2 linked regions of the Cricetulus griseus genome follow. The protein of the gene in region 2 purifies or fractionates together with the protein of the main gene of each other region. This does not show direct contact. Links are inferred from orthologs where the notes say so. Each region holds a gene or a part of one and is shown on either strand. Other genes may lie near its edges. The genes, in order: Kif5c and Klc1.

Region 1 (4,404 bases), on a different chromosome or scaffold from region 2:
TCTGCTTCAAAACTAAGAACTTCAGATTTCTGACCTTGGACTAACAGTTAACTCCACCAAATGTCCTCCTTTGTGTCTGCTGAGAGCGACATTTCTGGGTGGCTCTCAGTTCTAGGTTCTTTGGGCATCCTCACCATGTACCCACTGAGGCCATTTCTATGTATGTCTGAGTCATATACACTGCCAGACTGAATTTACACCTACATTAATAATTAGGAATGGGAAAGGTCTTAAGGCCAAGGCAACACAAATCAGCATCTGAGACTGGTCTGTTCTATATGCTCATGAACCAAAAGATGCACAAAGCAATGTTCACCACACAAGCTAGCCCCGAATGGAAGCAGGCCAGCTATGTCCCAACAGCTACAGGGCTTGGTGGCACACACCTATAATTGCAGTATTGTGAGGGCTAAAGCAGGGGAATCGTGAAGTCAAAGCCAGCCTGGGCTACAAAGCTAGATCCTCTTTTAAAAAAAAAAATCTAAGGAATAAATACATTTAGGTATATTAATCTGGTAGAACACCACTGCAAACAAGACCAACTTGACAAGCATAGCATTGCAATGTCAGTTGCTAGAAACGCAACAGAAAGCCTACTGTAAAGAAAAACAAGCAAAATTTATAAGTGATATTGAAATGAAAATAATGGTTCCCCTGGGGCTTGGGGGACTGGTGACAACAGAGAAACCTCTAAGGTCCTGAAAATGCCTGTTTCTTACTCTGAAAGATGGTTATTGGGAACCCATACTTTGAAAAGCCATCAAGCTAATCGATAACACTTCTCTATATGATGCTTTGTTTCAGTAATTATCTTTAAAAGACATTTATTACATTAAACAAATATAGTAGGATGAGCAAAAACCTTAAAAATAAAGTGCAGGATGTATGTTCACATGCATAACTTTCTGTTAAAATTTTTCTGTATCTGGTTGCTTTAACTTAGTATTACATGTGTACATTTAGGCAGAGAATAAGCATAGACTCATAGTAAATAGTACTAAAATTAATCTTTGCTTGCACAACTAAGAGGATTTATTACTCTACTTCACTGATCCTTGTAGAAGAGAAGAAAGGTGGGGGAGGAGAAGGAGATATGGGAAGAACTTCAGGCCCTTTAAAGCATCAGGAGAAGAAAAACAAAACAAAACACAAGGTCACCAGAACATTTTCAGTAGCTGAAACAATGGTTACTTTAAAAATTGTTACAAGCCAAGAGGAAGGGACTAGAAGTACCTAGCAACTGCCACTGTACTTGAACCACGCCTCACTCAGGAAAGACAGATCAGACTATGATGGATCTCCTGCTAGAAGCTGTAACACTAGCTCCAGGCTGCCATGAATATATCACTAGCCTATATATGCCATTAAGTATAGAATTTCCTCATCAATAATTGTAGCACACTTCTTTTCTGCATGTTAACACTAGGCAAAGAAAAAAAAAATCCCTTTCCTACTCTCATAGATCAGGTACCAGAATGAGTGACTGCCCATGCACACAGCATTCAGAGGTCTGCATTTTCCTTTAGCTGTGAAAACCGGGAGGGAAGTGGCCATGCTCTGCAGGGGGGAAAAGTGCCTTCTTAAGCAAGATTCAAGATGAAGCCCCCAGGCCAAGGCTTGGACTCTAATCCCCTACACAGGAAAATACCCGCCTACCAGTACAACTAGCACCTCCTTGTCCAAAGTCCCTTTACAGTGACTGCAGCAGACAACCTTGCCAAAGATGCTGGGGGCAGCCTAGGTGGAGAAACACAGGCCTCATGCTTGGGAAGGGCTAGGTGTTCTCTAGCTACACTCTCAGAAAACTGTCACCTGTCAATCACTTGACCTAAATACAACAGTACTGGAATCACTGGGGGAGTGGGGGGGGGGGTAGTCCGAGCATGCTCAGTGATGGAGATGACATCACTTAATCAATGCTGGAGTCGGGAAGGCTGCATCAGCAGCCTGGAGCTGGCTGCCAGGAACGTATCAGTGGGGACCTAGAGGCTCGCATTAACTCACTCCCTTCCCACGCGGCTCGAATACAAAGAGGGCACCGTGGGCCACACACTACAGGGAGAGCAGATTAAGAAAAGGGGTGGGGGCAAGACTAGTTTATTTCATTTGGTATATTCCATTAAGAACTATAAGCCATTAGTTTTCCCTCCCCGTTCCAGCAGCAGCCAGACTGCAGGGACAGAGCTAAGTTGGGGGGGGGGTGATCAAAGTGGAGACCCTAGATATGCTAAAGTAACTTCTGCTCTTGACACAGAGGGGCTATTTAGGGACTCCCTCTCTCCGAAGATTGGACAGTCTCCCCTTCACCCAGAGCGAAACCTATCAGACTGTGTGGACACTCAGAAGAGAGGATCTGGGGGAAGGGGACATCCAGCAGACAAAGCACAAATCTAGGACAATTTGGGGTGATAGGAAGCAAGAGACAAAGAGACCTCCCAGGGATAACAAGAGCACCCCTCACCTTCCCCACGGGGAGCAAGGTGAAACCGGCTATACACGGCCCAGGCGAGGATTTTGTTTTTCTTGCACCTTGCCTCCCTACCTTTTTGGCTAAGGTCTCACACAAACCTTAGCCTGGATGCATCTGTGGGTTGTGGAGCTTATACTTTTGACCAAGGCCTGGGGATCCCGGCTTGCTGGGCAATCCGAAACACTGCCCACGCGGAGGCGAGCGTGGGAACAATAGGCCCACCCGAGCCCCCACCCACGAACAATGGCGGCCCTCGCACGCCCCCGCCGCCCGGTGCCACCACTGCCAGGAGGGAGTCACCGGCCAAGGGCTGTCGTCGGGTCCACCCTCGAGCTCAGCCCCGCGGGGATGTCCGAGGAGGCGTCCGGAAGATTTCTGCGGTGCAAAGCCGAATGAAGGGGCGAGACACCAAGGCCACTTACCCCGATCACCACCGTCTCGTCGCCTTTGAATTTGGGGATGAATTTGTCCCCGCGGAGGATCTCCGCTTCGTTGAGGGGCCGGAACCGGCACATCACTTTGATGCTGCATTCGGCTGGATCCGCCATCTCGGGACGCTGCAGGAGGGGACACGGGGATGGGTGGGGGGCCGGGCTGGGCAGCGCCACCGAGGAGGCCGCGAACCAACCGCTGCCCGCAGCTAGGCCGCCTCCCGCAGCCTCCCGCAGCTTCTCAGCAGGTCATGGCGAGCCTGCGCTGGACAGCCGGGCAGCTCCGCCACCGGGAAGGAGAGCAGCCTATTAGCTGCCCCCCGCCCCCCACCCCGCTGCTGACCTCCAGCCAAGTCCTGAGCCCTGGCCCACCTGCCCGCGACCACGCGGCGGGCGGACGAGGCGATGCGCAGGGAACGATCCCCTCCCAGCTCAGACCTCCCGGGCTCCGGCGCACTCAGCCATCCTGCATCAGCACCAGGGCGCTCCGGCACCTCCAGGACCGCCCCTCTGCCCCGCCTCGGTACGGTAACGTCACTGCAGAGCCCGCCCCACCCTGGGTGTGAGCGCGGCGCATTCCGGGATTTGTAGTCGGACTCTGACCTACAGGTGGGAGGGCAAGGATGCTTGGATTTATTTGTTAGGACACCCCACACACACTGCCACCCACGCCCGGGGAGCTGCAGGACTGATGTGCCTGCCTAAGTCAAGAACTGAACGGAAGTCATAGTTAATATCCCCGGTAAATTATAAAAATACAGGTCACATCTTTTCCTGATCCCAAAGAAAAAATACTCATCAATACAGTGTACAACTGAACATCTATAGAGTGTTTCTCAGCGTAGTAGTTTTTGCAAGAGGAAAACAGGAAAGAAATGAGATTTGCATGGAAGCCAATTATACCTGGAAATGCCTATACATAGGTAGTTCATAACAGCTCATATTCGATGAAAGTCCAGGACTTTATCACTGCAAAACTAAGTCAAAACACAAATCCACACATATTTAGCATGCTGCTATAGAGCTTGGACATTGAAACTGGCTTTTGAGTCCCAAGTCAGGAACCTTTCAACCAAGTGTGGCGGTGCATACTTGGAATCCCAACACTCAGAAGGCAGTTTGGGACCAAAAAAAAAAAAAAAAAAAAAAAAAAAAAGTTCAGTTACAACGAATCATAGATCAATTTTTAATTCTGTTTAGAATCCTGCAGAATGAACAGAATATATAGAAGATCAAATCCAAAGTTCTTGAGAGGCCTAGGCCCCCATAATCATATTTATCCCTATATGTTTAGGCTCCCTCCTCTCCTGTAACTTCCCATCTTGATGCTTACAATCTAACAGGTACCAAATTCTTGAGACTTCTTTCATTCAACAGTCCTGCTTTTTTCTGATATTTCTTTAGGCCATTTGCTCTGCCAGACCGACCTACTCCCATCCATCAGTGGCTTGGGGACCTTATCAGAGTTGATAGGAACATGACCAGAGCCACTGAAGTAAAAGG
Region 2 (4,422 bases):
GAACTAGCTCTTGTAGACCAGGCTGGTCTAGAACTCACAGAGATCCAACTGCCTCTGTCTCCTGAGTACTGGGATTAACGGCGTGCGCCACCAACGCCCAGCCAGAGATTTTCATTTTTCCCAACCTAAAAATACATGCTTTAAAATGTTTAATTTTTTAAAGATTTATTATTTATGTGTACTCTTGCATAATTTTCCTGTGCACCAGACTACCTGGAACTGGAGTTGGAGACAGTCTTAAGCTGGGTGTTGGGAACCAAACCTGTGTCCCTCTGAAAGTACAGTAATTGCTCTTAACAACTGAACCATCTCTCTAGTCCCAAGAATGTATTAATTTTTAAAAATAGAAACATTGAAATTGAGAGTACTATTGATTTGTTTGTTCTCGAACTGAGGAAACGGGACCTTTTCAATGTTAGGCTAGTACCCTACCCCCAGCAACATCTTCTGCCTGACTTTATTTACTATGGATTATTTAAGATGTATGTACCTCAGCTCTTCCATCTTTGCACCTGGAAAAATCCAGGACTGGCTTCCATGCATGTCTACACTTTGTTTTTGTTGATATGAGAAGGGACATATGTAGCAGGGACAGACTTTTTACTGGTGGCTCTCCTGCCCCAGCCTCCCGAGTGGAGGGGCAAGAGTTATTCCCTTCTTGATGATTGCTTTTAAAATGCACTGCCAAAGGCTGGGCGGTGGTGGCGCACGCCTTTAATCCCAGCACTCAGGAGGCAGAGGCAGGAGGATCTCTGTGAGTTTGAGACCAGTCTGGTCTACAGATCGAGTGCCAGGACAGCCTCCAAAGCTACACCAAAAGATAAATAGATAGATAAATAAATAAATAAATAAATAAATAAATAAAATGCACTGCCAAGCCAGGTGCTGTCGGGAGGTCACCACTAGGTTCCAGCCCTCTTGGTTCCACACAGGGCCAAGGCTGGATGATCTGGAGGTGGCCCACATAAACACCAACTCTTTAAATAGTGCCACTGCACTGTTACAAACACATAGAGCACAGAACAGTAAGTCAAATTTCCTACAACTGAGGCTAGTGGGCAGTCCATGTAGCAGGCTTAGGAGACTCCAGCTTGGTCCAGTTTCCCAGTGGGGTTTTCATAGTCCCATCACAACGCATTCCGGCTAATTCTGATCTGAGGCTTAGTCATGCTGTATAAAAAGCCTTGGAATTTAAGTAACGCAAAGAATCAAAAATGCAACTACCCCTCTACATAGCAGTTTAAATAGTACATAATTTTTTGTTCTCAGTCTCCCTGCACCCCCTGGTGTTTCTGTATAGCCCTGGCTGCCCTGAACTCCCTCTGGAGATCTACTGGCCTCAAAGGTTTTGGCCACCACCTCCCTGGCCTCTCTAAAGATATCATTTTTGCAAGTACACCAGATCACCACTTAATATGTAAATTTCCAACTGTTTAAATAATAAGACAGTAGCCGAAAGTGACAATTCCAACACAATACACCTGGAAATGGCCTGCAAAGTTCGTGGTCATGCCATCCACTCCATCACACACCAGTATTACTTTTTAAACGCTTTAATTTTTTTATGGGAGGGGGCTCCATATGTAACAAGGAAAAGCACCCCATGCTGGCCACCTTCAGGTCGCCAGGGAGATTCCACACCCGGCCACTGAAAGAAAAGGCAGGCTGGCCCCTGGCCACAGACCACAGCATGACAGCACGCCGCCCAGGGCGGTGCCGAGGAGAGGTGGGGGCTGGAAGGGCGGGGAGGCCTAAGACAAAGCCAGCCGGGTGACCCGGGACACACGCCACCGCCGTCTCCCCGGGACCTCAGCATCAACGCTTTGGGACCCTAAGCCCACAGCTGCCATTAAAAGGACGTCTGCACCGCGGGGCCTGAGTCAGGGCGGGGCCCTAACACAGATGGGACAGGAGTGGAGCGGAGGAGGGCGGAAGGGGCAGGGGCCCGAGCCCAAGGTGCAGCGGGGAGGACCGAGCCCCGAGCCTGGAGGGTCCGGGGCGGAGGGGACAGGCGCAGAGAGATGACAAAGATCGCGGACAGGGACAGGGACAGGGACAGGGCAGGAGCCCAAAGCAGGGGCGCAGGTAGCCGGGGACACGGGCCGCGTCCTGCAGGAGCTCGGGGAGCTGGAGAGGGGCCAGCGGAGGGGCGACAGGAACCCGGGAGGACGGGCACGGGGTGAGCGGGGCGGGGAGGGGACCGGGCACGGGGTGAGCAGGGAGGGGACCGGGCACGGGGTGAGCGGGGAGGGGACCCGGGCACGGGCGGAGCGAGGAGGGGACGGGCACGGGCAGCGGGACCCGGGAGCGAGGAGGGGACCCGGGCACGGGCGGAGCGAGGAGGGGACCCGGGCACGGGCGGAACGAGGAGGGGACCCGGGCACGGGGTGAGCAGGGAGGGGACCGGGCACGGGGTGAGCGGAGCGCGGACCGGGCACGGGGTGAGCAGGGAGGGGACCGGGCACGGGGTGAGCGGAGCGCGGACCGGGCACGGGTGGAGCGGGGAGGAGTCCGGGATGCAGCCCGGGAGGGCGGGGTGCGGATGCGGCTCTGCACGGCGCTGCACGGGGGGAACACGGGGAGGCCCGGGAGCCTCGGCCTGGAGGATGCGGGCGAGCGGGCGAGCGAGCGAGCGGGGCGGGGCGGGGGGGACGGGGCCGCGCACTCACCGTCCGGTCGGGAGCGCCGCGCTCGTCGCGCTGTCACGGGCCCAGGCCGCGCAGAGCCCCGGCCGCCTCAGCAGCAAGCAGCGCCTCCGCGGCCGCGCCCGCAGCATCCTCGCCCCGAGCCGCGCTCCGCAGCCTCGCGCCACCGCTCCGCCGCCGAAAATGGCGTCGCCGGCGCCGCGCCCGCCCCACAATGCCGCGCGCCGTGACGTCACCCGCCCTCCCCGCCGCCGGGCGGGGCTGCGGGGAAACTGAGGCGGGCGGGCGAGCCGGCGAGCGGCTGGGCAAGGGGTCGGCAATCCGGCTCTCTCCAGAAGCCTGTGGTCCCCCCCCACCCCCCGCGCGCTCCTCTGAGACTCGCCCCTCGAGGGACAGAGGACGGCAAGGATGCCAGGCGAGCGGGGGCGAGCCGCGCAGGGTGGCTCGCCCGTCGACCTCCAGCCTGGGCCGAAGGGCAAGCAAGCTGTCCAGCTCGGCTCCGGCGGCTCCCGGGCCGCACACAGCCGCCTGGCACGCAGCTGCAGGCCTGAGTCAGCGGCAGGCGGGAGGGCACGCTGAGTCAGGGCCAGGCCCGGCTCGCCTAGACCGGCTCGGGAGCCCTCCCGGTGCCCGCAGACGTCCCCGGGGAGCCCGGGGACATTACTGAGGGGTCTGGGCTGCCAACGCCAGCCTCCCCTCCGTGGGACCCGCCTCGGTTTCTGCTGGCATCGCCCGGCACCTGCTGTGCTCCGCAGCCCTGACTGACACCTGTCAGCATCAGGGAGGCACGTGCTTTCGGTCTGAACCGGCCGATCCAGTTACTTTGACATCCAAAAAAACAAACAAACAAAAAAAACACAAAAAATCAGACTGGTTAATAAGGGACAGCTCCTGTGGAGAACACAGCAGCTCAGATTGGCCTAAAGAGAGGCTGTGGGTCACGGTCAAGTAAAGCCCCGGCACACAAACTACTGCTTGGATGTTGTGTCGCCGCTTGTTCAGTCAAGACGCCTGCTCCTGGCCAGGTGCCCTAGGAAAGAAAGAACAGGCTAAGCAGGAGCCCACTTCCGTCCGCCCATCTGCCCCCTCAGAGCCCTGGATACCCGCACGCCTCTTTTTTTTTTTTTCTTCTGTCTCTTGCCGTCACTTTATTCATGCTTTAGCATCTCGTTCTTTTGCCCCTTCAACTGAAGTCCACTAAGCTCCCACGGTCCTCATGGGAAGACCCAGGTGTGTAAAGTGGCAGATGGTGTCTGCCATTCCAGTGAGGGTGCAGCAAGACTTGCCAAAACGGAAAAACAGGCAGGTGACGGGGAAAGGGTACACAGCCCAAACCCCAAGGTCGGAAAAGTGTGCTGACAGCGAAAATAGACGAAGGAATGGACCCACGAAGCCAGCACAGAACGCTGCAGGAAAATCCTGAGACAGGTTGATCCCTGTTGTGTTGTAGGGGGAGAAAAGACTTAGCTAGGTGTGGAAGTGGTGGCGCATGCCTTTCATTCCAGCACTAGGGAGGCTGAGGCAGGTGGATCTCTGTGAGTTTGAGACCAGCCTGGTCTACAAAGCAAGCTCCAAAACAACCACAGATGTTACACAGAGAAATCCTGTCTTGAAAAAACAAAAATAAAAGACCAACGCTGCCACAGCCACACACCCCTCTCAGCGCCAGGGTAAAACTCCTTAGCTTGGTCTATGGTCTACAAGGCCCACGGGACCTGGTTGTGCTATCACCCTGTCCATAGCTGCCCTCACCTATCCTGAGGTTGCCCCCACCACA

The links.
Region 1: the proteins of Klc1 (region 2) and Kif5c purify together in Homo sapiens (co-immunoprecipitation; 4 studies listed by BioGRID and IntAct, counting the BioPlex papers as one, with this or other methods). This does not show direct contact. The link is inferred for Cricetulus griseus from reciprocal best matches to the Homo sapiens genes KLC1 and KIF5C.

The regions. Positions count from the first base shown.
Region 1 is NC_048599.1:124,678,042-124,682,445, forward strand, and holds the start of Kif5c (kinesin heavy chain), read right to left. Parts: upstream 3,019-4,404; coding exon 2,893-3,018; intron 1-2,892. UniProt on the Homo sapiens protein: Microtubule-associated force-producing protein that may play a role in organelle transport. Has ATPase activity. Involved in synaptic transmission. Mediates dendritic trafficking of mRNAs.
Region 2 is NC_048598.1:182,278,989-182,283,410, forward strand, and holds the start of Klc1 (kinesin light chain 1), read right to left. Parts: upstream 2,829-4,422; 5' UTR 2,777-2,828; coding exon 2,670-2,776; intron 1-2,669. UniProt on the Homo sapiens protein: Kinesin is a microtubule-associated force-producing protein that may play a role in organelle transport. The light chain may function in coupling of cargo to the heavy chain or in the modulation of its ATPase activity.